Linked DNA regions of Arabidopsis thaliana. The protein of the gene in region 3 interacts with the protein of the main gene of each other region in a pairwise test. Each region holds a gene or a part of one and is shown on either strand. Other genes may lie near its edges. The genes, in order: AT5G63130, AT1G67170 and AT5G64430.

What was found.
Region 1: the proteins of AT5G64430 (region 3) and AT5G63130 interact in a two-hybrid assay, tested with the Arabidopsis thaliana proteins (one large-scale study listed by BioGRID).
Region 2: the proteins of AT5G64430 (region 3) and AT1G67170 interact in a two-hybrid assay, tested with the Arabidopsis thaliana proteins (one large-scale study listed by BioGRID).

The regions. Positions count from the first base shown.
Region 1 is NC_003076.8:25,317,550-25,328,442, reverse strand, and holds AT5G63130 (Octicosapeptide/Phox/Bem1p family protein), read right to left. Parts: upstream 5,469-10,893; 5' UTR 5,254-5,468; coding exon 5,094-5,253; intron 5,005-5,093; coding exon 4,586-5,004; 3' UTR 3,704-4,585; downstream 1-3,703. Other genes in the region: PAP29 (purple acid phosphatase 29), read right to left, coding at 1-206; AT5G63135 (transcription termination factor), read left to right, coding at 2,003-2,146, 3,035-3,190; AT5G63120 (P-loop containing nucleoside triphosphate hydrolases superfamily protein), read left to right, coding at 6,372-6,427, 6,507-6,970, 7,057-7,236, 7,328-7,489, 7,574-7,728, 7,897-7,989, 8,094-8,179, 8,280-8,506 and 2 more; HDA6 (histone deacetylase 6), read left to right, coding at 10,216-10,755.
Region 2 is NC_003070.9:25,121,789-25,132,727, reverse strand, and holds AT1G67170 (sarcolemmal membrane-associated protein), read right to left. Parts: upstream 5,556-10,939; 5' UTR 5,345-5,555; exon of another isoform or gene 5,297-5,344; intron 5,033-5,296; 5' UTR 5,002-5,032; coding exon 4,418-5,001; intron 4,285-4,417; coding exon 4,139-4,284; intron 4,040-4,138; coding exon 3,948-4,039; intron 3,841-3,947; coding exon 3,583-3,840; 3' UTR 3,271-3,582; downstream 1-3,270. Other genes in the region: AT1G67180 (zinc finger (C3HC4-type RING finger) family protein / BRCT domain-containing protein), read right to left, coding at 559-735, 820-1,008, 1,093-1,668, 2,043-2,205, 2,280-2,413, 2,507-2,629; AT1G67160 (F-box/kelch-repeat protein, putative (DUF295)), read left to right, coding at 5,630-6,801, 7,481-7,529, 7,778-7,909; AT1G67150 (transmembrane protein, putative (DUF247)), read right to left, coding at 8,121-8,398, 8,476-9,299, 10,004-10,140. UniProt on the Arabidopsis thaliana protein: Has no transcriptional activation activity.
Region 3 is NC_003076.8:25,757,991-25,768,938, reverse strand, and holds AT5G64430 (Octicosapeptide/Phox/Bem1p family protein), read left to right. Parts: upstream 1-4,518; 5' UTR 4,519-4,857; coding exon 4,858-6,399; 3' UTR 6,400-6,779; downstream 6,780-10,948. Other genes in the region: FAAH (fatty acid amide hydrolase), read right to left, coding at 1-54, 140-220, 467-518, 661-732, 880-955, 1,034-1,146, 1,281-1,428, 1,505-1,582 and 5 more; AT5G64420 (DNA polymerase V family), read right to left, coding at 7,817-8,670, 8,767-9,220, 9,386-9,673, 9,781-10,947.

The DNA.
Region 1 (10,893 bases), 440 kb from region 3:
AGAACATTTTGACACTGCGTCTTAGCGCCGTTAGCAAAATGCATATCCGCCACTTGTAGTATCTTGAACTCGCCGTTAACACTGAACCTGAGTTTCCGACGTTGAGCTGTTGCCGGAATCGGAGATAAACAGAGACATGCGAGTCCTAGAAACACGGAGAAAAGTAGGAAGTCGAATAGGCTTCTTCTTCTTCGATTGTCCGCCATTGAACTTATGATGAGACCAAGAAACACGATAAGTGTACTTTATCGTTGTGTCAGTCAGTCAGTGTAGTAGACATGTGAAGCAAGTGTGTAGGAAGAAGCCAAAGGAAGCAACTTTGACATGGAAAGCTTTTAATTTTGTTTATTTTGAAAAGAGGTTTTATTCTTAATTAGCATCGAGTTAATTATTTGTGGCGTGATTTAATTACGAGTTATGACACACAACTACCAATTACCAACCATATTTTCTCATTGAACTCAGCATAACGTCATTCAAACTCATAATGACAATTACATTTAAGGTTTATTAAGTCTCCACATGAGACCTTTAGTGATTAGTTAATTGGTCCAAAAAATATAGTTGGGGACACAAATTGTTTGTTTTCGTTTGTAATTTCCAATTAATAAAAAAGCATTCCTTTCAAAATAAAGGTCGTTTTGAATAATTAGTTCGACGATACATTCCATGAGAAAATACATACGTAAGTGATTAAAACATCGAATACAAACTTGAACAACATTGAATTTGATTATTATACGAAATAATAAGATTTAAGTGACATGAAATGGATCGGACCAGGAATGCTTATTCCCCATTTAGCGTCATCAATGGAATCGAGGACCTCAAGGTGAGTTAGCCAGGACAATAGCTTCCATCATCATCATCATCGACAACAATTTCATCGTGATAAACCAAGATTAAGAACACAAGTTTTTGGTGAAGAACTGAAGCAAGAAACATACTTATATATATATGCTTTCAATTGTAGATTGATATCAAACTATATATATTGTAATGTAGATAGATACACAAATTTAGAGACGTGTATTATACATATCAACATATGTGTGTGTGAGAGTCTTATAAAGAGAGTTTTTATGTCGTTGTATTGAGAAGCAAAGCCGTATTGTTATATTCCCGCATGCATAGTTTCTTTCTCACAAGGAAATGGGGTGTGGGATAAAGGTGTAAAGAGTTATCCTTTTTAAAGGTGTGTTTGGCCTTTTTAAAATAACTATGTGATGCTTTTTTATTTTACCCTAAGTTTTTTTACGCAATGTACAGCCTTTACAACTATTCACACCACCAAATTTGCAAAATTGATAGTCAGTATTTTATCTATAATTGGCTCCTTTGGGGGTTAGAGACCGTATATAAACAGCAATGGCATGCAAGTTAAATAGTGGATTTTAGAAAACATACTAACAAACATTACAATTAAGTATGTTCATTATGATAGTAGACTGGTGAAATATAAGAAAATTATTAGAGTTGATTAATTTTATTCGTTTGAATTTCTTCAATTTCTTTTGACATGAACAAGTTTATTTCGAAAACCTAAAACAAGATACATAAATACTACCATAAATGATAAACGAAAATGTTAATATAGCTTTCAAAAAATAATACAAAAAGTACTATGAATTCGCAAGATTCGATGTTTTATGGGTAATCAAAATATTTGGAATGTTACTATTCCATCACCAATCAAAAGATCAGATGCCTATTTACGTTTTTGTTATTAGAGTTTTAATTTTTAAGACGTTGTTAGTTAGTTTCAAATTTAAGTCACGCGCGGAAGGTAGGGAGTGGCCCAATGGGTTTCAAATTATGCTTTTGTAATTTTACAAGCCCAAATTTAACATTTAGTCCCTACTCATAGTCAAAATTATATTTATCTTTACCCAATAACAATGGGCTAAACAGATAAAAGCCCAATAATAAATGCACTGTGTTTTTGGTCTTTATTTACTTTTCCATCAATTTTCGTTAAGAGAGAAAAAGGAAGAGAAGAAGAATGTTACAGTTTCCGACGTTGATGACCCAATTTCCGTCGTCGACGAAGACGATTCCGGCATCGTATTTGCTTCCGTTACAATGGCCTCAGCCGCAGAACGAGGAGATTCTTCTCGCCATGGAAGAAGCTGAGTTCGAAGAAAAGGTAGCTTCCTTCTTTTTTATTTATGTATTCGTTCTCCTTCGGAATCTGCTGAATAGGAAATTTTCAGTTTTCGACTGTCACTACAGGCAGCATAAAAGGTCAATCTTAGATCTTTAGTTTCATGTAAGTTGAGCTGATTATGAGTGAAATTTATTGATTGTGTTCGAGATTATAAGTGGTTTCTACTTTGTAAATGATCAATCTTTTTCGATCCGTGGTGATGATTTTGGTTTTAGGCAGATCACTTTCTTCTCTACTTCATATTGATAAGATGAATATGAGTTTCTGAATCTTTCTGCTTTGGAACATATTCTTTTGGGTCCTATGTTTGAGTTTTAAGTTAGTACAAAAGTGAGAATTTTAGTGGATACCAATGTCGAGTTGTGATTCTAGTGTAGTGGTTTTTCCAGTGTAGACTCTATGGATATATGCATTTGTGTTCATTGGACTATCATCTTATAGCTTTAGACCCGTAATAATGTATAAAGATCCAAGGGTGATCTTCGAGTTTAAATTGGAGAGATTTTTGGTTTCTAGATTTAGTATGGAAAAGGATTTGAGTTTATTGTTACATGTTTTCCAATGTTTGAAAACTAGTTCCGTTTCCTGAATCACTAGCAAGTGAAAGGAAAGAAGCAAAGACAAAATTTGCAGATTTGGAATTTAGCCATTGTGAACTTTAGACAACATGTCTCCTTGTCGTGTGATGTGTTGGTGTTACCTCTAATTATATGTTCTTCTTAAATATATTAGATTGTGTGATTATATAGACGTGGGAGCTCAAAAGTGAGAGAGATCAGTAGAGCTAATTGTCAGTTTCAGTGTTGTTGTTATGAATGTTTTAAGACAAGTTCTAAGTAAATTCTTGTTGTCTTGGGTTTGGTGCAGTGCAACGAGATCAGAAAGATGAGTCCTGCTTTACCGGTAATTGGAAAACCAGTCGTCAACAACGAACAAGAAGAGGATGATAATGAAGCAGAGGATGATGATGCAGATAATGCAGAGGAATCAGATGGTGAAGAGTTTGAGCAAGAAACCGGATAAATAATCTTGAGGCCGAAAATACACAAGGGTTATTGATGGCATTGGCTTGAAACTTGAGGACCCTTATCTAAATCTTCTTGTGATAAAACGACTGTGATTCTGACTTTGTAAACCAGGTTTTTTTCTTTTCTTAGGAACGACTGAAATGTTCACTTTTGGCCCTAAGGTTAGTCAGTGGATTATTCGTAGTTAATTGTCTCAATCTCATGGTGTTAATTGTGTTAGTGTATTGACATTGAATTTTATGGTTTATAGATTGTAGTGATTTGATGATGATGACATTTTTCAAAATTTAGACCGGCCTGTACATGCCAACTACGGGTAAGATATTTGACCAGAAATAATACAAATTTAAACGAAAACATATGTAGTTGGGTTTTACGTGAATAAATTTTATTTGGCCAAAAGCATAAAAAACAAGAACATGATTGGTTGTATGAATTAATAATTTGAGATTCGTTTCTGACTTTAAATATGTATAAAAATGCTAAGAAAGCCCAATTTCGTGTGCTGGTTGGTTGATATTTCAACAAATAATGCTGAAAAACAAGAAATATGTGGTACTGTTACTTCAAAATTTGATTCGAAATAATCAATGAACAACTTCAAATATTTTTTGTGGAGTTCCAAGTTTTCAAGTTAAGATGGGACAATTTGCTCACCAACTTATTCATTCTTTAGTTCTCCACTCCTCCATCTGTCCCATTCACAAGTTGCGAATATTTAGGAAGTCAACTAAAATACGCCGACTAACATTTCTTTTTCCAATAGTTTTCTGATTAATTAATATATTTGATGGTCCTTTTCTCAAGTCGGGCAAAATTTTGAATCGAATAAACAAAGGAACTCCGTGTGAGACTGTGAGTAATCTCATGTCCTTCTCTAATCCTGATGAGACAGACAAAAAAAATCGAATATTATAAAGTTGAGAAAACAATTAAAAAATTACTTATCAAACAAGTAAAATAAAAAAGAACCTCGTTAAGAAAAACAAACTCCAGAAGACGAAAGGTTGACACGTGTGACGTAACTAATCCACGGACAACACACGTGTTCACATCTCCGATATTTACACGAGATGATCTCACTATTCGCCACGTATCACGTTTAACAAAAAAACAAACGTCGTACGTGTAAACACGTCGTAACGGCGACTCTAACGGTTAGTAACGGCCACTAACGTCCCGGTATATACTCCGTCTAAATTAATTTCTCCGTCGGTTACGTCTCCGACCGGTAATTGTATAGGAAAATTTTAATTCTTCTCTTCACAAAAAATCAACACATCGTAAAAATTTCTAAAAACCCTAAATTAAATCCTTTAATTGCGTCTTCTTCGTCATTATCATGGTATTCGTATCTATGGCGTATATTCGATTATTTCCCCAATCTCCGTCAATGCCAAACGAGCCTAGAGTCTTTGTGTACACGACACGCATAGCAGCAATGCGATTCTTCCGCTCTCTGAATGTATCTTCTCGGAGGAAGATCCGTGGAAGGTAAACAATACCGAGATTGTAGATATCTTCCATACGCCGGCGACGGAGAATTTGGCGGTGAAGGCGTGACGGAGAACGGCGATTTTGGAGATCGATCACCGCTTGAAGACGGCGAAGATTCGGTCTTATGCGAAGATCTCGGAGGTGATAGAACGGCACGGATCTTGGCTCCGCAGATGCGATCGTACTCTTCAACGATCTCCGCTAGTTCTTCTTCTGATTTGACGGAGATTAGAGTCTCGAGATCTCCGTTTGGTAATTGACATCGTAAATCAACGGAGTATCCACAGAATTCATAGAGTTTCTTCATCAGCTCTGGAGAAACAAAATTAAAAAATCAATCTCAGATTCGGCGAAATCGGAAATAGAATCGATTTCAATACGAAATTGAAGTGGAGACGAACCTGAGAAAGAGATAGAACGATCAACGGAGAGGACTCTGGTGTGACCTCCGACGTAACGGAGCTTGCCGTCGGTGGAGCGAGGGAGGATTCTGCCACCGTAACTGCATAGAAACTTGAGACTGCTTCCACTGTTCTTCTCGGTATAATCAACGGCTACCATTGTTAGTTTTTTTTGAATTTTTGAAGATTTGGGAGAGAAGAGGGAAGCTTTTTATAATTGAGTGTTTGTTTTTGGTGTCTTAAACCAAGAAGAAAGGTTGCAGATGGATGGGTTTTATAGGGAAGGAGTGATGTCATGGTGGGATATTACGCGTATGGGCAAATAGAAAATTCCTTGGATCTTCTATGGGCATTTTGGACAATTCTGTTATTTCCAACAATGGAATATTCTTTTGTTTAATTGATTCCATTTTGAAGAAATCTTCTTTCTTAAAAGTCGCTCATCATTATAGACGTTTGGTCATCAAAGAAAACTAGTCATAAAATTTTAATCAAATATTGAATGCTGAATCTGATTTGTACCTTCCTCTTGGCAGTCTCTTCCATGTTAATGTTATTGTTAATTACCATCAATTTTACTGATTGCTCTGAACATGATTTTGTTTTTTTATTATTTTTTTTGCTGCAAGAACATTATTATGTTTGAAATTATAAATATGTCAAGTATGACCTTATGGCCATGTAATGTTAATGATTCGATTTTATAAATACTGTGCATTATGGGTCAAGTCAAATGTATACTTTTTCACTAGTTAGAAAATAACATACAGTATATGGTATTATTCCAGAAAATATGTATTATGACTAGGATTGGTGTAGTCACATGACTCATGAGATGGTATGTCTGAAAAATCCCATCGCAACTTTAAGATTTTCCAAATTTGATTCGACACTGTTGGCAAAATGTTTAAAGCAATAGACTCCCCCATCACAAAACCTCCAATAATTTAAGTTAAACAATTGTTTGGGTCCAATTTGTAGCCCATTAAGTGGTTAGTCATGGCCCATATCTGATTACCAACAAAATAAAGGAAATTAATTAAATTCGCGCAATAAAAAGAACAGAAAAATGGTGGGACAAATTAGGGTTACTAATTTGGGAATTTTACTGTCCAAAACGAATCAAAAAAAAAATCTAAGCTTTTTGTTCCTTTTGCGGCTTTTCGTCGTCTTCCTTGCACTATCTTCCTTCTGTAGCATCAATTCGTTTCCAAGGTTACGTAGTAGAATTTACGCGAGAGAGCGAGAGATCAAAAACCATAACCATCTTAAGTTACAATGAGCTCGTATGATCGTAGATTTGCTGATCCAAATTCGTATCGCCAACGCTCTGGGTAAGTGAAACCAATCGACCAATTTCTTCGTTTTTGTTTCCTTCGATCTGTAACACTTATCTTCTCTGTGTTACTTTAGCGCCCCAGTTGGTTCGTCTCAGCCGATGGATCCTTCCGCCGCACCATACAACCCACGGTACACTGGTGGTGGTGGAGGATATGGACCATCTCCGGTAATGGCCGGTGATAATTCCGGCTATAATCGGTACCCATCTTTCCAGCCACCTAGTGGCGGTTTCTCTGTTGGCCGCGGTGGTGGAAGAGGTGGATATGGTCAATACGGCGATAGAAACGGCGGAGGGAATTGGGGAGGAGGAGGAGGACGTGGCGGATCGAGTAAAAGAGAGCTAGATAGTGTTTCTCTTCCGAAGCAGAATTTTGGGAATCTTGTACATTTTGAGAAGAATTTCTATGTGGAGAGTCCCACTGTGCAAGCTATGACAGAGCAGGATGTTGCAATGTACAGAACCGAGAGGGATATATCCGTTGAAGGTCGTGATGTTCCTAAGCCGATGAAGATGTTCCAAGATGCTAACTTTCCAGGTATTTTGATTGGATTGGTCATAGAGTTTCCAGTTCATTTATATCTAATTTGGGTTCTTAGTTTAATGGTTCCTTTTATCTGTTAGATAACATTCTTGAAGCAATTGCTAAATTGGGATTTACTGAGCCAACACCTATACAAGCTCAGGGATGGCCGATGGCGTTGAAGGGTAGGGATTTGATTGGTATTGCTGAGACTGGCTCTGGTAAGACATTGGCTTACTTGTTACCAGCATTGGTTCACGTTAGTGCACAACCTCGATTAGGTGAGTATTACAGCACTATGTGATATTCTGATTTAAGCTGCATTCATTTTTCCGGCAACTTTTTTATTTGCATTGTTGGGGTGTAATATAGGTCAGGATGATGGCCCCATTGTGTTAATATTAGCTCCCACAAGAGAACTAGCTGTTCAGATTCAAGAGGAATCAAGGAAATTCGGGTTGAGGTCTGGTGTTAGAAGTACTTGTATCTATGGTGGTGCTCCTAAAGGACCTCAGATTCGTGATCTTAGAAGAGGTATTTTATTTTTTAATAGTGTAGTTTTCATGTCTGGTTCTTGGATGGAACATCAAAGTTTATGAATCATGATTGGCTTGTCAGGTGTTGAGATTGTAATTGCTACACCTGGTCGTTTGATTGATATGTTGGAATGTCAACACACTAATTTGAAGAGAGTGACTTACCTTGTACTGGATGAGGCTGACAGAATGTTAGACATGGGATTTGAACCCCAAATTAGAAAGATTGTATCTCAGGTATGTTTGTACTTTCTCCAAAGCTATCATGTAGTGTCTTTAAGGAAAGGGTGGTTGACCAACATTATTAGTCGATAGATTTTATCTTCCCAGTTTATTGTTCTGTTGCTAAATAAGAACCATCACGGCTTTTGTTCAGAACTTGAGATTGTTCCTTATTTTTCACAGATCCGACCTGATAGACAAACACTTCTTTGGAGTGCAACATGGCCACGAGAGGTTGAAACTCTTGCCAGGCAGTTTCTACGAGATCCATATAAGGTTTACTTGCTATTTAGTTTAACTTATTAGGATTGAGTATACTGTTGTTGAATAAAGTAGGGGATGTTTTATGTTGTGCACTGAAAACAGTTGTTATTTTGTAGGCCATTATTGGATCAACAGATCTAAAAGCTAACCAGTCTATTAACCAAGTAATCGAGATTGTACCGACGCCAGAGAAATACAACAGGTTCTTAATTTTTCTGTCATTAGATAAGAAACGATTTATATATATATTTATTTGCCTTCTTATATGATATGATACTTATGCCTTTTTTCTCGTTTGATAGGCTCCTTACACTACTTAAACAGTTAATGGATGGGAGTAAAATCCTAATTTTTGTGGAGACAAAGAGAGGGTGTGATCAAGTGACTAGACAATTGAGAATGGACGGATGGCCAGCTCTTGCCATACATGGTGACAAGACCCAATCGGAAAGAGACCGAGTCTTGGCAGAATTTAAGAGTGGACGAAGCCCGATAATGACTGCCACTGATGTAGCAGCAAGGGGACTTGGTAGGATTAACTGTGATACACAATAGGAGAGATTATACTTAGAGCATTTCGTTTTCTTGGGGTTTTAAAGATAATAAAAAAAGTCGCCTGGCTGCCGCTTTCCACAGTTTCCTCTGGTATTAGGGAAAAAAGCACATAGAAAGAAAAAAGGAGCTTCTTTGAAGAATTTGTTTCCTGCATCCATCTCCCGGGCATGGAGCTGATTGGTTTTTGAGCAGCCTGGGCGACTGACACCTGCATGCATTAATAGTGTTATAACGCCGTCCCAAACACTCCTTATCCCTGCAAGTTAAGGTGGGCACATTTACTTGGGAAAAATGTGTTGCTCTTAGTTTCTTGATCTTTCCAGATCTGCAGTTGTAGGGATAAGGGGTTCTTGTTCTCTATCCTCTCCTTAGCTAGGCTTTAAACACCAAACTCATTTACACAAAGAAATTTCTGTTCTTCTTCCTGCATTTCATCTCAGTCTATGATTTACTTCTCAACTGTGTTCCTTCTTTCTTCTTTTGTTTTGTTTTACAGATGTGAAGGACATTAAATGTGTGGTTAATTATGATTTCCCAAATACATTGGAGGATTACATCCATAGGATTGGTCGAACCGGGCGTGCAGGAGCTAAAGGAATGGCCTTTACATTCTTCACACATGACAATGCTAAGTTTGCGAGAGAGCTTGTCAAGATCCTTCAAGAAGCTGGTCAAGTTGTACCTCCTACTCTCTCCGCACTAGTCCGATCATCTGGTTCTGGTTATGGAGGTGAAACCTCATTTCTCTTCTCTCATTTGATGAGTTCAATCAATCTTGCTAAATTTTGGTACGAGGATCTGATTCAATTTTGTTGATTTGTTCAGGTTCAGGTGGTGGAAGAAACTTCAGGCCAAGAGGAGGAGGACGTGGTGGTGGGTTTGGAGATAAACGGTCAAGATCGACTTCAAACTTTGTACCTCACGGTGGAAAGAGGACTTGGTAAAGAGAATCCCATCATTTTGATTCTATGAGAAAACCTTTAATTATGATGATGATGATCAGCGTTTGGTTTCGACTAGAAGTTCTTTGTCGTAGAGAACAAACATTTACTATATAACTATTTAGCTGATTTCGCTGCTTCTTCTTCTTCTTCTTCATGATATTTCTAAACATTTTGCCTTTTTCTTAATTCTATCAACTAAATACACTTTACTACTTTACTCTCAAGTCAACCGTAACACTGTAATGAAACTTGTTTTTAAAAATCGGATGTGGATTATTAGGTTGGGAGATTCAAGTATTGCGAATAGAATTTAGACAAATGTAAGCATCTATAACATCTAGAACATGTATATCTTCTCTTTTTTCCCAACAACATCTAGTTACGAATCCTTAAGGTGAAATGTGTAAATAGATCATACTTAGCTAAAAAACCCTTTACATTTATTTGTCTAACATTGTCTACCATTAGGAAAACAAGTTAAAAATAATTCGCTATGTTTGAATCGAATTTGGAATTATATAATCGATCGTTAGTTTAACATTCAGTAATTATTAAAATTAAATTTTTAACGCAAAGATAATAATGTAAGTAATCATTAATGTGCGTGTATATATAAGCTGTGCCCACAACTCCTAGTAATGACTTTCTCAGGCATTGTTGACACAAATTTTGCTCTGAGTAAAACTTGGGAATAGAGAGAGACTCTGAGTGAGAGAGAGATTCTGAGTGAGAGACGGAGATGGAGGCAGACGAAAGCGGCATCTCTCTGCCGTCGGGACCCGACGGACGTAAGCGGCGAGTCAGTTACTTCTACGAGCCGACGATCGGAGACTACTACTACGGTCAAGGCCACCCGATGAAGCCTCACCGGATCCGTATGGCTCATAGCCTAATCATTCACTATCACCTCCACCGTCGCTTAGAAATCAGTCGCCCTAGCCTCGCTGACGCCTCCGATATCGGCCGATTCCATTCGCCGGAGTATGTTGACTTCCTCGCTTCCGTTTCGCCGGAATCTATGGGCGATCCTTCCGCTGCACGAAACCTAAGGCGATTCAATGTCGGTGAGGATTGTCCTGTCTTCGACGGACTTTTTGATTTTTGCCGTGCTTCCGCCGGAGGTTCTATTGGTGCTGCCGTCAAATTAAACAGACAGGACGCTGATATCGCTATCAATTGGGGCGGTGGGCTTCACCATGCTAAGAAAAGCGAGGCTTCTGGGTTTTGCTATGTAAACGACATCGTGCTAGGGATTCTGGAGTTGCTCAAGATGTTTAAGGTAAATGCTCCATTCCTTCTTTATGATCTCATCATAGAGAACTTCTTCATGTTCTTCTGAAATTTTTAGGGTTTAAGCTTATCTTGAGTGGTTTTTCTTAAATCTACCTGAAACCTTGAAGCCTTGTGTGATTATCGA
Region 2 (10,939 bases), on a different chromosome or scaffold from region 3:
CAATGAAGCGAGATAGAAGATCTGTATACCGATTTTAGTTCTCCGGGATGAATAAAATAGTTGACGACGGTGGATCTGCGAGGAGGAAGAAGAAGATGATTGGAGGAGGCGATCTGGTTATTTTAGAGGAGAAGAAAATGAGAGAGACGACGACTTGAGTTTTTTTTTTTTTTATAACTAAAATCAAAAGAAAATAAATAATGAATATTATATTGGGTGGTGGGGTCATGGCGGGATATGAAAAATAAACGGCATCTTTACTGAAAGAGAGCTTTTTGCTTAATTTATTTTTCTAGGCAATTTGCTTTTGTGGTTTAATTAAAACTTAAAAGTGACTTTTGGTTAGACAGTTGGAATTTGGAAATTTTTATTGAATTTGACACCCAACTTTTTTAGTTTTAATTTGATATGGTTCGATCTGTATAATTTAATGTTATATTAATTTTTAACCAAGAACTTCATTTAAATCAATTATAAATAAATTTTTCTCCATAAACAATGGGAGGATATTTTGTCCATCATTTCAAATATCAAAACATTATTGTCATACGTATATATTTAGTAGTTGCGACGGTGGTACATCATCTGAAGATCATTGCAATGGTTACAGGTCCAAGGAAGCAGATAAGGGTCTAAACAATAGGAGTGGATTCGCCGGAAATTGCAGAGGTGACATCTTATCAGAAGCTCCTCTGGCTCAGTCAAGTAGCATCTGCTGCAACCTGAAGCTCGAGTCTGCAGGAGAAAAAAACAAAACACAATAGAATGTTGTTGCTATCAAGAACAAGATCGCGTAGTAGCTCAATACTCTCGGCTTACCAGTGGATTGAGAGTTTGTCTTTGTTCTTCTTCTTCAGGGAGTACTACAAGAATGTTATTTGTTGAAGATAAGTCAGGGACTGTTTGTGAGTATATCTTTTGATCGGAAGAATCAGCGTCTTCTATCTTTGTGATTGTGATGAAATTGGACTTGCACAGTGGACATGTTGTTTTCTTTCTTTCTGAAACCTGCAGATATAATAAGGAAGTTGCATCATTTACCAATATGGATTTTATGAGAATTAGTTTGAAAAGCAAGGAAGATAAACTCACCAAACGGTCTGCCCATTTTTGGATGCATGAATAACAAAACCTGTGGCCGCAAGGGAGAATGCCTCTACTGGAACTGAACTCGGTCCAGCATATGATACAAGAAACTTGTGCAGGAGCCTTCTCAGTTGCTTCTGTCTCTTCTCTTGTTGACTCATCATCATCTTGTGGTTTTATCTCTGGACTAAATGATCTAGGGCGTTTAAAAACAGCTGAATGACTCCAATTCTCAGACTCCTCTATTTCATCTACATCCCAGTTTGGTGTTGCCAAGTCTCCAGGATGTCGAAGAGCTGATGTTTCTCCTTGTTCGAAAACAAAACCCCTCACATTTTCATCAGCAGGCTCTCTATGATCCTGAGTCTCATTTTGGTTCTCATCAGAGTTGTCATGATGGTTATTATCAGATTCCTCATCAGATTCAAGGTCGATAAGGTTTCTGTAAGAGCGTTGCTTTACTACCCGCTTTTTTCCTTTCCGTGAAGATTCTGCCACACCACTGTTTTCCTTGTTTTCAAGAATACTACTCGGCCTCTTTGTTCTTAATCGCACTGAGTGTCTGTTTGCTTCTACATTTTTCTGAAGAGCAACAAAGAAGCCCAGAGACATGAAGAAAACAAACTAAGTATACCATACACATAACAGTCATGCAAGTAAGCAATTACATTCACACTAATTAACATGTTACTTTCCACAGTGGCTACGCAAAGCTAATCTTGGTAGCTATGAAATCTGATGAGGATATGCTATCAGCACATCGGTCTTTCAAATGATACTAGATATACTATGCAAAAAGATAATTCTCTTCTGATCTTTTGGATATAGAAGTATACAACACAAAACATTTGTTCTATTACTGAAATTCAATAAAAACTAAACTAATAGCTGTAGAAACCTAGATGCGGCTTGTATCTACTATCTAAGCAAATAGGTAATAAGAGAACGAGGATTACCTCCATCCAAGTGGCAAGCTCAGAAGTGGAGCCACTCCGGTTTTCTCCACCATTACTAAAGTATTTATCAAAAGTTTCAGAAGCCTTATTCACTTTCTTAGTGACTTTAGCTTCCTCAGAAACTGCAGGTAGTTCAATCATCAAAGGTCCAACCTCTTCTCCACTGAAAAATTAAGGCTTTATCAATCATCTTTGAGGAACATAGAAGCTATAAGGACCGGAAACCAATAAGCATACCTATCAAACATATAAGGCGTCTCGGAAACTCTTCTCCCTTCCTTTACACATTCTTCCACCCATCGATGATTCACTACTACTGTACCAAACTTCTTTGCAAGATCGTACTTTTTGCCCTCAAATTTCCAACACACCTACACACATAACCAATTAAACAAAAGGGTATGTCTTCATTTCTCCACAGTGGTAATGAATCACATAAACAGAACAGAACAATCTACACAAACCAAATGTGTAATAGATCTTGACATTGCCCCAACATAACTTGCTCCAGAATGAGAAATAAGCTTGATGAGCTTAAACCTATCGGATCCATGATAACCACTCACAGTTGCAACCACATTTTCCATACCTACAAATATCAGACCCAAATGAAAAACGTAAATTGGGGATTGCAACAATTTCTTCTAAATCAAATTGTGCGATTAAACCCCTATATAGCCAAGGGGATTCAATATTGGGAAAAGCTTACATCTTTCGTATCAAATGGGCCAGAATCGGTAAACCCTAAACTTAAAATCGAGGTAACTGAACCAAATTTCAGCAATTGAATTGAGAAATCAAAAACCTTTTTACAGAAATCGAACAATGAAACCTTAGAAATTGCAATTTCTTTATTGGAGAAGAATTACCTGGTCTAATTGGTACAAAGTTGCTGCGATTATCTCTTTGTTTGCTTCAATCTCTCTTCCCCTTCTTTCTCAGGTCCGTGACAATGGAAGCAAATGGCTAAAGGAGAAGCGAAATTTAGATGGGAGTCTGGCGGGAATTTAAAAATATCAAAAAATTTCAATAATTTTATCGGACGGTGTTTCAAAAATATTTTTTTTTTAAAACAACTCGTATTCTGTCCAAAAATAAAATAAATAATATATATATATATATGAAATGGGCCCTTCTCACAAAATAAAATAAAAAATAAAATGGGCCCTTCAAAAGTAAACTAAAACTAGAAACTACAGTATTACAAAGATAAATTTAACTTTCGATTCATTTGTAAACTTTTTAACTGAGTGAAACATAGAGTCATAGAGACAAAATGGTGAAGGGCAAACAACAAATTTCTCTTTCTTTGTTTTTTCTTTCCCGATGTTACATCTCTCTGTATCACAAAACTTGTTGAAAACCGTCTCACAAAAGTCAAGCTCTCAACAAAATCAGTTAAACAATAGCACTCAACGTTCACCACTGTACCAACTTCTCTTTACCCATAAAGATTATGGGACCAAACAGGCAACAATTCCACAGTTGAAGGAATCTGTAGCTGGTGAGTTATTTATATATGTACTCTTAGCTGGTGGACTCATCTGCGACTAGGGTTTCCGTGTGTACCGGCGTAAGGAGTATTGTTAGATGGTCCAGGTGGGAATGGAGCGCCGTAAGGTCCTGTTGGTAACCTTGTTGTTGGGTCATATGAACCAGGAGGGCCTCTTGGAAAGTTGTAACCGGGTCTTTGAGGGAAGTATCCTGGCTGAGTTACTCCTTGATAAGGGTATTGAGCTGCGCCAACAACTGAATTTGGTCCAGTTGCGTTACCAGCTACTGGTTGAGGAATATATCCCTGCAAAAGTAACAAAACGTATATAGCTCAAGCACATCTAAATCAACTAATGTGGAAAACTATAATGGGTCTCAAAAAGACGAGCTAGCAAAGAGAAACTCACGAACCTGAGGACCAAAAGCATCTTCATAATAACCGTTTCCACTCTGATGTCCAGAAGCGTCAATTTCAGCATTTATGTTGTTACCATAAGGGCCACCTTCATTTGATTGACAGATACAACTCTTAAATTACTGAAAAAAGTTCGTGGAACAATGAAGCTAAATAGAGCAGAAACTAACTAAATAATTCAATATACCTGCTCTTCTATCTGAATTTGCATTGTTCATCAACTGTGCTTGAAGTTTTTCAACTTCCCTAGCCATAGTCATGTAGTTCTTCTCCATTGCCTGAAGTGACTCGAGATGGTCATTATAAAACTTCTTCTCATAGTCATATGTTGCCCTGCCAGAATCAGATAAAATCAAATTCATCCCAACCTTCATAAGAGGATGATACAAAAGCTGACAAACTCAATAACTATAAGAAGAGTGTCGGGAGCCAGTGATATCAGAAACTTCCATTCTACAACCATTACCTGCACTGCTGGTACTCCTGTCTTAGATTCTCAAGTTCAGACATCAGAGCAGGTATTTGCTGCACATCAGAACGAGATTTTTGAAGTTCCTGAGTCAACTGATGCACTTTAGACATAAGCTCCTCCCTAGCCACAACAAGACTCCGTGCCTCAGCACGTGCTTGTTGCATCTCCAACTTAACAGCCTCAGATTTCTGAAGCTCAGTCTCCATTTTAGCAACTTTCTCAGCAAGACCCATCATCCGTTGCTCTCTCTCGGACTTCATCGACCCAATTTGCGCGTGCAACATCTGTATTTCATGCTGTGCTGCTGCTAACTCTTGTCTTAAACTACCATGAGTTCCACCAAGTCTCTGATTCTCTATAGCAAGTCTCTGTAATTCCCCGTGTTGTGCCACAAACTTTTGCTCCATAACTTCAGGTGGAGGTAACATGTTGAAGGAAGGATACACACCTTGAGCAGCAGAAGGTGGTATAGCACCGTGATTACCGAAAGTCTCCGGATGCGCTATACAGCCACCGGGACCTGGAAGAGGACGCCTCATATGATGATGAGATGGATGGATTCTTCCTTTGCTTTCCATTAAACAAAGGCTTCTTCAAATTCCTTATCAACTGAGAAAAACATAAGACAGAAGATTAAGAGTGACACACATTAACACAATCTGCAGAATCAATGCACCTAAGTAAAAATATTCAAATCAATGTCTCTCTTTTTTTTGTTTGCCATTGAAATCAAACTTATTCATAGGCAAACAGAACAATCATCAAATTAAATTAGGGCAGGGAAATCAATTGATTTGAAAATTCCCGACCAAATTAGGGTTCTAGATCACCGAAATCAAATTCGAAGAAACGATTTAGATCCTGACTAATTACCATTAAATCCTGAAAAGGTATAGGTTTGATGACTTTATCGATTCGTACCTTGGAATGGAAGAAGCTCACTGGGATTATTTGATCGAGTGTTGGGATAGAGCGAAGAAGACTAAGCAAACGACGGCGAAGGTTTTTTTTTTCTTTTCTTTTGCCGGCGTGAATTTTTTTTTTCCTACAAGTTAAGATTTCTAATCCAACGAAACCCATTAATATATGGGCCTATTTTACATAATGGCCCAATAGCCTCATTAACTTTATTGACTCATCTTCTCCCCCACGTCTCTGAGCACAAACCCTAAGATTGAAAATCGTGAAATAGCACAAAAGAAGGAGATGAGCGATTCCGACGGAAAAAATATGGAAGGACGATTCGAAGCGGCCTATATCGTGGACCTAGTTAGATTAATCTTGGAGCGCTTGAGCTTCGTTGATTTTCATCGAGCGAGATGCGTTTCTTCAACATGGTATGTTGCTTCGAAATCAGTCATCGGAGTAACAAATCCAACAACTCCATGGATCATTCTTTTTCCAAACAAAAATGTCGAAAACAACGGTTCATGTAAGTTGTTTGATCCTCATGAAAACAAAACCTACATAATCAGAGATTTAGGGTTTGATATGTCTACGAGTCGTTGTTTAGCGAGTTCCGGTAGTTGGTTCCTTATGTTCGACCATAGAGCTGATTTTCATCTTTTGAATCTTTTTACTCGAGAGAGGATTCTTCTTCCGTCTCTCGAATCAATCGATGGAGAACGGTATATGCGATTCAAGAGACCCATTAGCGGTAGCCATATAGAAATAGACAAAGCGGTTCTGTGGGTAGATGACAAAAGCAGAGATTACTTTGTGTTTTGTAATCTTTCTAGTTATGTAGCATATCATCACAAGAGAGGAGATGACAACAATAGCTGGAAAGTTCTTCAACCAATAAAGCATCAAGGCTGTGTTGATATGGTGTTTAAAGAAAGCAAGCTTTACATGATTAGTGCACATCAATGTCTCACTGTTTTTGATTTCTCCGGTGGTGTTTCTCCAGTAGAAATGGAATGTGCAAGTTTCGGATCGTCTGTGTGTGTAAATAGATTTCATATGAAGTATTTCAGCAATCTTGCTGTGACTTTGTCTGGAGAAGTTTTGATCATTGTAGGTGGTAAAATGGATAGTTCTCCAGAGGCTAAATGCGTCTTCACTGTCAATAAGATGGATCCAAAATCATCAGAATTTACAGTACTAATCAAGTCTATAGGGGACGAGGCATTGCTTTTGGATTTAGGAATTACGGTTCCGGCCAAAGATGGAGTTATGAGAGATTGCATATATTTTAGTAATGATCAGTATCATAGATGTTGTGGGATTAGTCTACGCGATGGTTATAACGCTGACCGTATTTGCGTTTACCAAATCGGAAGCGATTATGTGGTCCAAGAGTTTGAACATCTAACTACTTCCTCGACAAAACTTTTCAAGGATGCTCGTTGGTTTTTCCCCACTTTTGGTGATAAATGGTTGTGAATTAATACTATCAAGTTTTGTCTTTTTGGTAAGGGTGGATTATTTGTTTTTGGGTTTGATTAGCAACACGGCTTTGATACTTTCAGCTTTTTGGTTCCACTTTTTCTTACTGCTATTTTGTTATGTTTTTAGCTGTTTTTTAAAATTGCTTTTTCGTACTTCGTACTACTATTTTGTTATTCTGATTTCATATGAAACCTAGCTCAAAATTAAAATACATTATTTGGAAATTCATAACAAATAGTGTTGCAGTTAATCATATGGAGTTTATCGCGATGAGCCTATGATGAACAAACTAGAATATTGGCCTACGTACCTTCTAGACTTCTGGCCTATGAAATAAAAGTTTTGTAATTTTCTTATGTAATTTAATCCCTCACTTTTTGAATGAAAAGACGATTTTATGGCAAGGTTAACGCTTCAATTTGTTGACTATTATTTTCCCACTTTCTTTACTAAATATTTAGTTAGTCACTCATAAATTATATTCAATGAATCAAAAAACACAAGTGCGGTTGCTTTGTGAGCAGACCAATTACAAGGCGTCGTCCCTAAGAGAACAAGAATAATAATTTTTCTCTCTATATATTTGAAATTAAGAACATTAAAAAATAAAAATAAAATAAAAAAAACAAGCTTCGTATTCACGGATATCTCTGATCTCTTGTTTAGTTGTTTCCATCTATGGATTCTTCATCCAGTAATTCTGCAGGCGAAGAAGGTACGTACGTTCGGGCTAATTTGTACATGATGAATAATTAAGATAGCTGAAATAACTTATATATGATTAACTAAGTACTACCTTGTATGAAACTAACATGTCTTGTTTATCTATGCAGGTCGGACCGCGTTGAAAGGGGTATATAATCATATACTTAGATAAATAAACGTTTTATGATCTAGTGACTCGATGCTGGGTTTTTTTTGGAAGTGTCTTGTCTAATTTCTTGTTTATTTTTCCTTCATCAGCTTCAGAAAAGCAATTTAAAAGGGACAAAACCAGTGACGAGAGAGAAAACGACAATAGTTAATAACGTAGATGGAACAACAACGCAGCGAGAGAAAACAACCAAAGGAAAGAACATGATTGGAAAGAAGTGAGCAAGTCAAAAGATCAGGATCCATATTGTACTATTTTGCTTTACGTTTTTTCGGTCAAGCTGTTTGTATTTCTTAAATTTGTGAACTATTTGTTGGAAAACAAAATGTTTCGCGTAATTATATGTGAGAAATAAATATAATTTTGGAAAATCCAATATTCCAATAACAAGAGTTGAATACAATCTTTAGGAGATCGAAGCATGCAACTGCATTAGCTCTTGATAGCTTGAAAAATGGAAGCCACTGTCCCAGCTAGAGTCAGTAGCAAAAGAGATATGGCAGCTAACGTAGCTGTTGTCGTCCATAAGTCGCTGAAGTAGACTTTTCTTAGTTTCGCCCATATCCTTTTCCTACGAGAACTATGGTGAATGTTGAGTTTCTCAACAATGTCGTGATATTGGCTCTGATTCGATAGCAACACTCCTATAGCTAAGTTATTCACCATCTTCAGTACCATGCTTGACCGCCCCACACCGTTTGTTAGCACTCCTGTGGATATATTCATCAATCATATACTATAACTTAGCCAAAAAAGAAAGAGAGATAATGTGTTATAATGTTTGTACCTGCTGAAGTGAGTATAGCCACGTCTTCATCGGAGGTAATAAGGAAATTCATGAAATTTATGTAATTTGTAGTAAAGGCATTTTCAGGATCATGGCATTGCTCATATGCGATGACATTTCTAAGGATGATATTAGAAGATTCATCGGCAGGAAAACTCGGCAATATTAAGCAACCTTCCTCGAATGATACATTCAGTGAATACTCACGCTTCACTACCTTGAAGTCCACTCCTACACTGTATAGCATATTCGCGCTCTTCATATCCACGATCTGGCTTTTCGAGTTGTTCAACTCTAGATTCTGGCCAAGTGATTCCTTGTAAACACACCGGAATAAATCTGTGAAGTGATTGAACTTTGTATTCTCATTGATCATGCCACTATCATTGACTGAAAATAACTGGAGGATGACTTGGTCCAGCGACTGATCTCCACAAAATCTCTTTGTAATGGGGTTTAACAACTTACTTAAACAGAAGTAAGGAAGCTGATTCTCGAGCAAGGTAAGGTCATCAAGAACCGTGGAAGTGTAAAAAGGTTTGTCCACAATCATGTCACCAATTTTTTCATGACTTTCATACATTCTGAGAATGAACTCCACGATAAAAATTGAATCGTTAAGTATAAGCTCCACGAATATATCGGATAATATCCATGCAGTCGATACCGCATAGCTTGCTCGAATATTTACTTCTTCGTCTTTTATGGTGGTCTTCATATCCTCAAGAATAGCAATATCAGTATCTAGCCTTTTGGTGAAAGCGTCTTTGTACAACACCTTTTGGTCCTCCATCATCTTATATTCTAGATACCTAATAAAGCATCTAAACATTAATATCTATATTGTGTAAGTAATTAATCATTAAACAAAAGATATGAAGTAGGAGCTAAAGAGACTAAAGTGGTGTTATTGGTTTGTGATTTACAGAGTGTTCTAATGTTATGAAGAATTTGTTGTTATTCAATCAATATGTTATTAAGCTCTGTTAAATTTTGATGTTATTGGATTCTACTTTAATCAAGATTTTACTAAACTTTTTCTTGAAGAGACTCATTAATCTGTTTACGTTTTCTGTTTTATATAACTGCAAATTGTTTTTGTTTGGTTTAAATGTTAATTTGATTGTAAAATGTAGTTCGTAAAAAGCTCTCGGAACAAAATTAAAATCCTGACATTACCGGATTTAATGTTACTTTCGTTGTTATGTTTTGAGATATTCTCAAAAGTACCACAAAACAATAGAGATGAATACTTACATATATATAGATTATACAAATTTGTACGAAATATATGAACAATAGCAAACTGAAAGTGGTATATTGCAGAATTTTTACTTTTTTTTTTGCTAACAAAACAAAGAGGGTAAAACTCAGCCAAAAACTTAACAAAAGTCCTCTTCTTCTTTTTTTCTTTCTTACGATTAAAAAAAAATACGTTGTATGAAATAAATGTTAAGAAGATGATTATATGCAAAAAAAAAAAAATTGATTATAGGCTACAAAGGTCGTCCAGGCTATGTCTGCGTACCTTGAATCCGTATGAACTTTAGGTTTCTTGGAATGAGTAAGAGGGCCGATGAGAAGCATCCGAGGTCTATAAGCTTCTGGATTCACTTCACGCAACTGGCTTGGCACTCTGTATATACAAGGGTCTTGAGATCCCATCTCCAATTGCTTATGAGCTTTATATTTTCAACATCAATAATAGTTAAAAAAAAATCAAAGAGATACCGAAGAAAAAAAAGAAATTGTTGTAAAAGTTCGTCTTTATGCTTATGAGATTTAAGACACAAAATTAAGGAAACACAAGCTTACTGTGATACGGATGTAAATGAGCTATGGAAGTAGGATTTTTAAGTCTTTTTTTTAAAAAAATTACAAATTGGAGAAGGATGTGGATCTGATAACAAAGAGAGAATTTCGAATTAAAAAATGGCAATTTGGGATTAGAAAAATAAAAATTACACAAGAGAGTGCGCTATTTATAATTTTATATTTTTTTATCTATTATATATTATACTTGCATAAGAGGGTGCGTTGTCAATCGTTTCACTAAATTAATTTTAAAAAACTTTAATAATTAATAGTAATCTCATAAGTTTACTTCATGTCAAACTATTTTAAATAAATTATGATTAATAAAATAAACAGAAAGAAAATATACTATGATTCTCATCGAATAAATGAAAATTCATTCAATCCTATAAGTTTATATAGTTTCCCAAGTTTTTGTAGTTTTTCTTTATAGCTACATATGTTAAAAAAAAATTAGAATAAAACAAAAGTCTTCTTAATATATTTTTTTTTGGGCAAAAAGTCTTCTTAATATATATGTGAGTAAAACAACATTGGAATACGAAACCATATTTTTATTTCAATGGCATTTGAATAGATACTGGTACAAAAGTTACATAAAATGATAAAAAGTAGAAATATGAAGAAAACGATAAGAGGAAGAAAGATT
Region 3 (10,948 bases):
AAGGATGTCTTCGCATTTGTCAGAGATGTCACTTGAACTGACATCATTAAACCACTGCATGGATAAAAACAAGGCACTAAATATGCCACTGATATAACAAATCCCAACTCAGATTAACTAGCAAGGATAGAATATTCACCTTTGTATATTTCCCTAGTCGTAGAGATCCTATTGCATTGCTTCCGTTGTGAGACAATAACTTTGGAAAACACGGTGGGCTCTACAGAAGAATTGCAAAGACCAAATCATATGGGAACATATTGCAAGATTATATGCCATTATCACACATCATCATCATTGCATCCAGAAATATTTGAAATTTTTATTTTGAATTATATTTCTGAAATCTTTGTGGTTCAGCAAGTAAAAGAGATATCATATATTCTTGGGAACAGAAGTGAGTATAAACTGAGACACTTCTTCATTAAGATTTTATAGTAAATATACTATGACTGAGAAAGTTTACCGGTTTCAAATTATATCTATCAGCAGATGAAGAACCCAAGATTGCAGCATACCTGAAAGTAAACACAAAAAGGCAGATTAGTTTTAACATCCAGGTTTCTCAGAAGACCAAACATCTGAATTAGATAATTTATGGTTTTGCTTCGAACAGATTTACAAAGAATAATTCTCGTCTCAAAAAAGATTAAAACTTACACCAAGAAGGCATCTTCCAGAGATGAAGCAAGTGGACCAATTATTTCCACTGTTCCACCTTCACATAATGACCTGCAGAGATGACAATGGTCACATAAGAAATCATATGCAAATAATGCTGGCCATGGACCAAGGAAAGCAAAAGTAGAAACCTGTTAAGACACAAGGAAGGGGGAAAAAGGCCTAATGGGTTTCTAATAGGAATCCTGATTCTCTTACCCTGTCATATCTGTCCGACCATATGTTGTCTTCAGTCCCGTTATACCACAAAGTGCTGAAGGAATGCGAACGGAACCTGCATTTTCAGAATCATTAAACCTAGTAGGTATGCACATCATTGGTCAGATCAAACGAATAAATATAACTTTGATACCTCCACCATCTGTTCCTAGAGCAGCTGAACATAGTCCAGCGGCTACAATAGCTGCTGAACCTGAGGAAGATCCGCCCGTGTACCTTTTAGGATCATGCGGGTTTCTTGTGGTTCTGCAATGCACCATACCAGAGGAGCATACACATGAAAAACTAGAGTGAACTAAAGGTGCAAGAAACATACTGAAGTAACAAAACAGTTTTATGTCTATCCGCAAGATTTGTGTGTCCTCTGCTGTGTAGCTTACCCGTAATTTGAATTGTTCCCGGTGGTCCCCATGCCTAACTCATGCATATTTGCCTTGCCAAGTAAGATTGCACCACAAGAACGCAGTTTTGAAACAACAGCTGAATCCTTCTCCACAGAACGATCCTCATGCAGCCATGTTGTTCCACCTTTAATGAAAAACTCTATGACAGTTCTGTTGTATCTGGAAGTATTCTTAGTAACATATAAGAATAACAGACTCACCATTTGTCGGATGGGGTAAACAATCAATATCGTCCTTGATTGTCACAAATATTCCATCCAAAACAGATATTGGATTTCCTACACAGCTCACACCCAACATGATCAACACAGATCTCAACAATCATGTCTAACACCTCACTGAAGCTGACACTTTAAGCAGATACAATAACGATGCTGCTGTGATAATATCTGGACTACAAAATGTATCTTGGAGTATGCATAAATTTTACCTTGTTCAAACCTCCGTGTAGAAGCTTCAGCTTGCTTTATGACTTCATTGGCATCAAATCTAATCAAAAATGGTGTTGGAGGCTTGTCATAGCCAAACTCCTCTATGATTGAGATTATTCTTTTTGCTACCTAGCAATAAGCAACAAGGCTCTCTGTTAGTGCCAAAAAAAGAGAGTAATAAAACTAAAAAATTCAGATGAAAAACCTGCAATGGAGTTGTCAGCTTAGATCTATAGGCATATGCATAATCACGAATCTTCCAGTACCGGAAAGATGACACTGGATCTGCATGCAAGCTACGAGAAGGATCATACTGAGGAAGACATTTCAAGGCTGTTTCCAATCTGTCTATAGGACTTTCATCTTCGCCAACAATGACAACATCATGCTCCGGTTCTAGTAGAAAATCATACACACAACACAATCATCCTTTTGAGGTGTATATATTGATTACTCATTGAAGTAATCTTACACAATATTTCATGTAAGTATACAACATATGATTGTAGGAGAATAGATGACAGAGAAGAAGAATATACCTTGAGATGGGAACTCCGGTCTAAACATGGGCTCTTCTGGTATAACTGTGTTGCGAAAAATCTGCCAGTGACAACACGGAAAAGCACATACATGTAAGAACATTGATCATCAACAACCCTGAGGAAGATATAAGTCAAGTTTGAACAAACTAGACCTTTGTCATGCCATTGTCTTTCTTCAAATAATCAACAATCAAAGAGCCTATAAGTGGTGCTTCAAGCAAATTAACGAACAACTTGAAGGAAAGGCCAGTCAAATGAGGAGCTGCAAATTACAGAAAACCATGTAAAAGGCACATTCTCATGTCTATGCAGAAAACCCACAGAATTAATGTGCATTTGTAAAACCAACCAGACCTTTCATGGTTTCAGCTTTATATTTGACAGTAGAAAGATCAACCTCACTTGCACGTTTCATGACCTGATACTTACCCATCTACAAACAAAACATCATTAAGTTTGGAATTGATATCATAGATCACACACGTCACTGTTCTATAAGTCAAACACTTGAGAAAATTGCCAAAACAAAACAAAACCGATGAATCTCTAGTATCTTTCACCTTATCATAAGAATCTGTTATCCAGAATCAGAACAAATTAAGTGAAATAAAAAACAAAAACTGGTAAGAACTATGAGAATCGGAGAATCCAAGTAATCAGATTCAAGGAAACCACGCCAAGGCAGAAATTTCAGAAACCAGAATCACAGGCGAAACGAACAATGGTTGTGGAAGATTCGGATTGCGAACCTGAAAGAAGAAACTTAAAAAGAGGAATCTGAGAAACGATGATCCGATCCGGCGAAGGATTACTAAATGAAGAAAGCCGTGCGGAGATGAGCGGTGAAGTTGTTGGGAACTTGAATGTTATATGTTAGCTTCAAATCTTAAGCTTCTTGTACTGATTTGTACATAATTCAAGTGTACATTGAACTCGTCTCATTTGTTGAAATGTTCCAACCATGTTCTCAAATTTATGAAACTACCCCTTTATTATGTAAATATATAATTTTGGCCCGTTAACTAATGTTTTTCATTATCACACCTAACAATTTCTTTATATTTACGATGAAGTAGTGAAAACACTTTCATTTGCATTCAGTTGGATTTTTTGGTTTCCATATGGAGCCATTTCATATGATACTTACTAATTCAAAGCTAGGAATACTTCATTTATTTGATTTGGTTTCATTTGAACATAATTGGATTTATGTTAGTACATAGTTTCATTTAAAATAATATTCGATTCCATTTTTCTTTTGTGCTTATTAGATTCGAAAAATTTGATTCGTTATAATATTCAAATATTACTACAAGAAAACTATCAATAATAGGACTAACTATATAAGAGGCTCTTAAGTAATCAAAAAGTATGGTCGACATTCGTATAATGCTAAATTCTAGTATATCTAGTGAAATCAAAAGTTTTGGCTAAGATGCATCTTTACCAAAATTCGGTTGATTGACTTGCTCTGCCAAGTACAAACAACCACGAGACACGACTTGATTTATGACTGATCGAGCAACATCGTACCGGGACGGCGGGCCGATTAGTCCATATATATATGGATTATTTAAGAGGATGAGAAAATAATGAACATTTCTAAGTTCTAACACAAAATAATATTGGAAGAAATACTAATCAATGCACATGTCTTCGACAAACAAGGAAAACAACAAAAATTGTTACGTGAATTTGACAATATAAATATTGTTCTTGTACGACCATGATTGCACCTTCGGCATGCTAGTGAAATACGTCTATTATAAGTTTGAATAATTACAACAATTTCACCGTTTATAATAAGGTGCAAGTTGGCAATAATCTAAGGTATATAATAATAGCAAACAATCGAGAAAGTGAGTATACACTCACCGGTGTCAAATTTAAATTATCTTATATTCTTGATGTTAATTTAACATAACAATTTTTTTTTGTTGACCCTTTTACAGTTTTCTTCTGCATGTTGACAGACTAAAAAACATCTATCTTCTAGAACTAACCCAAAGACTATTCGGATGTGTAATACAGTTGATGAATGATGATGATTCAAACATTCAAATATTTGTTATACACAAAAGAAATCCAATAACACAATCATAAAACATATCTAAGCCTGATCAGGCGAAAGATCGACGACAACGACTTTTGTTTTTCCCTTTTTCTTAACTATTTATTTATCACTTAACCTTAAAAATATTGCTTCACTAATGTTGATTTAACAAAATATTAAGAAAAAACATGTAAAAGGCTAAAAGCTGGCCTCTTTCAACGTCGAAGTATCAAAACACTAGTGTTGGGCCCATTCACAGTGTCCCCAAAAGTCATATTAATCCATGGAGAGATTCAGCTAACGTCACAGAACCGTCACATAATCTCATCACCGCCTTAAAACTCATAAAATCTGACAGGCCACGTGTAAATGAGCAATAAGTTCACGTACTCATTTTCCAACACCACCATCACCGATACATAATAAAAACCATTTCATCACAACAGTCTTCTTCATTTCTTTCTAATTTCTTCTCTTCATGAATTAAGCCAAACCAACAAAAAAAATCATTTAATTTTCGCGGAGAGATGGAGAAATTCTCGTACAACTCTTATCCAGATTCAACCGACTCGTCACCGAGATCTCGTGAGATCGAATTCGATAACCCGCCGCCTCCATGGGATGATCAGAACCAGAACCAGCAGCAACATAGCTACAAGGTGAAGTTTATGTGCAGCTATGGCGGCAAGATTCAGCCACGGCCTCACGATAATCAGCTCACTTACGTAAACGGAGAAACGAAGATTCTTTCCGTTGATCGCGGGATTAGATTCCCTGTTTTAGCTTCCAAACTCTCCACCGTATGCGGCGGCGGTGATGGCGGCGGAGGAGAAGTTACGTTTAAGTATCAGCTTCCGGGAGAAGACTTAGACGCTTTGATCTCGGTTACGAACGATGATGATCTGGAGCATATGATGCACGAGTACGATCGCTTGCTTCGTTTGTCGTCTAAGCCAGCGAGGATGCGTTTGTTTCTCTTCCCGGCTTCTTCTGGATTTGGTTCTCAAAGTTCGACTCAATCGGATCGAGATCGCTTCGTCGAGGCGTTGAACACTGTTCCTAGGCTATCTGAATCGGAGAAATCCGTAACTGCTCCTCCGAATAATGCGGATTTTTTGTTTGGATCGGAGAAAGTTGCAGCTCCGCCGCCGCCACCACCGGCTGAGGTGAAATTACCGGTTCCTGTGGCGTTAGAACCGCCTTTGTTTAACGATCCGCGTGTGATTCAACCGGATCACGTCGTAAATCCGATGGAAATTCAAAGACAAATGCAGGAATTTCAGAGGATGCATATTAGGGATCAAGAACAACAACAACAACAGGAAGCTGTATACAGAAGGAAGAGTAACGAAGACGGTTTAATAGAAACCGGAGGTGGATACTTCTCTCCACCGTACATACAAAATCCTGCGCCACCACCGCCACAGCAGACGATTCCTCAAACGAATCCGCAAGCTCCTCCGATGACGACTTTCTGGCAAGGAAACCACAATCCAGGAGTCGTATTTCCAACAACCACACATGGATTAGGATTACCAGAGCAACCAGTTTACATGATCCCATCTCCATCTCCATCTCCGGTGTACCACGCGCCACCACCACCGCAACCGCAAGGTGTCATCAGACCAATACTTACAGGACAAGTAAACCAAGGCGGCTACTATCCTCAGGTACAGAGAGTGGCTTCAGATACTTACAGAGAACCACACCAATCACCGTACAACGTGGCTCAGCCACTTCAGGCACCTATAGGAACAAAAGCAGCACAACAACAACAACCTCCTCCTCCTCAGCCTTTTACCTCTGGTCCTCCACCACCGCAATACACCGCAGTACCACCGCCACGACAAGTAGTAGGATTACCAGATACATCAGCGTATACTCAGGTGACTTACACTGGAGGAATGGGGAAACAAGTTTATTACACGGAGGCTCCACCGCCGCAGTACCATGGAGTTGGCTTACCTGTAACTGGTATGAGTGAATTGAGAACTGGACCGGACGGGAAGCTTGTTGCTATGAACATGGCACCTAAAGTTTCATCTCAGAGTTCAGATTCGGCTGTTTGATTGATGAGGTATTTCATATGGTTGAATCAGATTATTGTTAATCTATTACAACAAATTTCATCATCTTTTATATATATATATATATATAGTGTAATTAAGATCACTTTGGTGTCTGATAAATAATGTTTTTTTCTTTTTCCCTTTATCTACTTGTTTATTTTATCTTATGATGATGTTCTTGATTCTGCAACTTCCATCGCGTTGCTTAAATCCAGTCTATTGTGCATTTGATTGCATTTATCTGAGAACCTTTTAAGCCATTTTACCTTTATTTTTCTTTTCGCCATAATAAGCTGAACTCCTTTTTTCTATCCAAGTGGTGTAGTTGTCCTTCGGCCATAATATATATGGGTTGTTCCACATGAAAATCATTTTGTTGTGGAAGATAGAACATTTCAAAATCAATAATTGGCTTCTTTGTAAAGAGATAAATATACACTCTCTCGTATGTGACCAGACTTTTAGTTAAATGGTCTACTAGAAGTTCTCTGCGTCATCTTAGCTACATTTAAACCGAATTTTCTACAATATATGATTTTAAAATATAAACTGGTCCAAAGAAAACTATCTATCAAACTCAGGGACAGGTGTTATGGGAAAGGATATTATTAGACTACGAGTTTTGAACTTTTAAGAATCCTTACAAAGAAAAGTCATATAGCTTTAGTCACTCACTTATCGGCCATGTCATAAACTTATTTGTTGCATCCTTCCCGAATCAATAAACGACACTTTAAGTATGTATATGAATCACCATCAACATCATCACGGAATACAATGCATCAATCGAAACAGAAAACCCCCCTATTAAATTATGATATCTAAAACAGGTGTCTCTTTTACACTAGTCTATGTCTCAGGTAAGTCTCACTTTATCAATTTTTGGATCATTTTGTACTCTGTCAACGCATGAATTCCCGAATTTGATTTTATCCCAAAACCGTAACTATATCATCGCAATGAACAATCAAAGACACACCAGAAACCCAAATGAACATATATATGTTCAAGAAATATATATGCTTCTGTAGATTTTTGCCCCCTTCAGACAAAGTTTTCATCAATCTCCAAAATGAGTATGTATTTATAACAAAGAATGTCTGACAAAAAAAAAAAATATATCTGATAAAGAAAATCATATGAAATCCATAGTTTTAAACATATTCTCAACCTGTAAATATAACCAACATAACAACTTGAAAACAAAATTGATGAATTATCATAACAAATCATCTCTTTGGGACATAAGTGAGAATGTAGTATCTTTTGGAATCAATGAATAGGAGAAATCCTATTCAAACTTGTGATTCAGATCCTGCGAGTTTTTCTTCATAGAAAGATAACACAAGAAAAACAAAAAAAAAAGACGAGGGTTTCACCAAGATCAACGTATGGTGATACTTTGGAGTAGTCTGCGTTAATGCTCTGTATTCTTCAGATTCAAGAAGAGATCACCGAATGCATCTTCACATGCTGTTCGACCATCTTGTCCCAACCCCTTGAGGAAAGATTTGGTGAGTTTCAACGAAGAGACCATCTGAAAGATCCTGCCACAGAATTTACGCACCTGAGCTCGCCTTACTTTAGCCTCAGGCATGTTTCCAACTAGTTCTTTAATCAAAAGAATCAGTTCCTTCAGATGGGTCGTCATTGTTTTTCTCGAATCTGCTTGGGTGTTTTCGTTTATAGGAATCAACGATCTCAGAGTTTCAGTGATCAAATCAAGAGCTTCCAGTCTACGGAACTCAACATTTGCATTCACACTTGCCTCCAGAAGGAAACCAAACAGTTGGTGTCCAATCCATGGTCTCCTTCTAAACACTTCCTCAAGAAAATCTATCTTCAACTGAGACTTCCTGCTATCAAAGTACCCGGTAACAGCACTCCGAAACACATCCAAGATCTTCTCCAATTCAGTTTCTGAGAATTTTCTCGAGTCAATTATCTTCATAACCCAGTAAGTTGAGTTCTGGCCAAGGTGGGTGATCATCTTGTATCGGTTCCACGCAGCTGACTGCTTCTTCTTGGAAGGGTCAACTCCTGACTTCTTACTCTTGAATGGTTTCGCAGCCAGTTTAAGATTCTTCTCCAACAAAGAAGCAAGTGCAGAAAATTCCATTGATTCATCCTTGGGAAACTCTTTAGCCTTGAAGATCTTCTTCTGAATGATGCCCCATATACGTTGTAAAAGCGGCAGACTACTTTCTGCAGTGCTTGGGTTCAGCATTGCCTGAACTAAGTTTAAGTACACTGTCATAACTTGTGGCTTATCTGTTAAAAGATCACCAAACCACAAAGTACAGAACTTAGTAGTGACTATTATCGTGCATTTCATCATACCAAATCATTGTTTTATGATGCACTTACCTGAATTTTCATGGAGGTAGATTTCAAGAAGGGAGAGGACACGGAGTTTAAACAAAACAAGCTGGGACTGAGCAGTTTCGCCGCCAGCTTGATTCCTCTTCTCCTTGAATATCTGGGCAAGGTAAGTGTCCATGCGGAACATTGCATCATCATCCATTCCATCATCATCATCAGAATCATCGGAATTTTCAGGAACTTCTCTGTCAACTGCCATAGGGACAACGCCGGTTACTGCTTCGGAATCATCAGTCTGCTCATCGCTCTCACCAGTTTCACCCATCTCCTCGTTTTCTTCTTCTGCATCTTCAATAGCAAGACAATCTTCTTCATCATCATCAAGATCGTCAGAGTCTTGGTCCTCCTGATGTCTAGACGGTTTTAGATCTTTCTTGATCACCCGCAACATTCTCAGCAGTCCATCGTTGGTGACATCTTGACAAAAGTACTTAAAAACCTACAAGTTACATAATATTGTGGAACTCTATTAAACTTTGAGCTTGAGCCAATTGGAAACAATTGAACCAAAGGATTAAATTGAATCTCATTTTAGCAGCCAAGGATCAGTAACTTCAAGAATAGTAAAAGAAATGAATTTGTTTGCTAGTGGTGAGCTTATTACCTGCTCAATAGAAGACCGCATTGGAGCTGAAGAATGCGGCAAGAGAGAAAGTAATGTGTCCACGAGGACATCCATGACTGCTGGTTCTTCTTCATCGTCTGCCTCACCTTGCCCATCACTTTTCAGAAGATCAAGAGAACTGAAAGCTTTGTCACAGCATACTGAAAGTTCAGTAGCAGCTTCTGAGAATTCTCCCGGATGGAGGAGTATTTGAAGCAACAGCTGAACAACTAAGTGCCTCAATGCATGAAATTTATTTGGATCAGTAGATAGTCCACAATTTCTTTCCTGCCACATAATAAAGATGTACAACTTAAACACACAAGCACATAGACATTATTTTGGTAAGATTTCAACTTACAGTAACATTAAAGCAAAACGAGTAAGAAACTTACCTCCTTTAAAAGTTTACTTTCTGTTTCTTGTAATTCTTTGAAAGCCTTTTCATCTGCTTCATTCAAGGAACGGAAGAGGGAAACTGAGGGAATATTCTGCAACGTGCTAAGGAATTTCATAAAGTATGAAACAGGATCATCGGGCTGTTCCAGGGCATTTCCTTTAGATAGTGGTTTCTCAATCTTCTGAGAATTTGACAGCAACAGCTGAAGCTGTTCGATGCACATTTGGCAAAGAGCAGCAGGAGTAGCTGTCTTTGGCCACTTAAATTTCTCCTGCAACTCAAATGATGTAACTTCAGTGCCCAGAGAAGCCAGAAAGAGACCTTGTACAGCGAGAAATTTCAGGATCTGCTTCTGAAGTCGCAGTTTCGCCTCAGGGGACAATTTAGCATGTTTTAAGATGCCAGGGAGAGATTCAATGACCCAGCTTTTCAGAACATCCGAGTTTCCGGTTGTTCCAACTGAATCCTTCTCCTCATTTGAACCATTGTCAGAATTATCATCCGTTGTTTGACTCTGATCTGAATTCAAAGAGCAAGGTTCTAGGGACCATTTCATATTTGAAGATTCTTCAGGAACATGCTGTTCATCCACAAACAAATTCATCAAGTTCTGGAGATAAAGTGTGCAACCATCTTCAGTTTCAAGCTCTGCAGCTAGAACTTTAACAGTTTTTGTCCGCGTAATATTATCAAATTTTCCTTCGCTGTGTTTCTGGAGAGCCATTGTAACGGCCACCCTCTTGGTATCGTCATCTTTCACCCAATCCATTAACTCGACAAGAAAATGGGTGGCAACTTTATGCAACCAAGAGTCCTTTGTGGAGAGTATATCCATGAGGCACTGAACAAATTTGAGCGACAATACATGTTGGATAAAACTTGCAGGAAGCTTTGGAAGAAGAAGAAGCAGGATATCAAATGCCAAATGCTTGCGAACATGAGTTGAAGAAAGTAGGTCTCCTTCCATAAAAACTTCGCAGAAATTTCTGATGTTATTTGTGGCTTCTTCTTCAACTGGATTAGACTTCCGGTTACGTTTTTGCTTTTTCGAGGAACTTGAAACAGATACGACATCTTCGCTTTGAACAACTGCTTCCGGTAACAGCATATCGACTATAACAGGCCATAAGCTATGAACACGAGGCTGGCAGAAAGTAGATTCC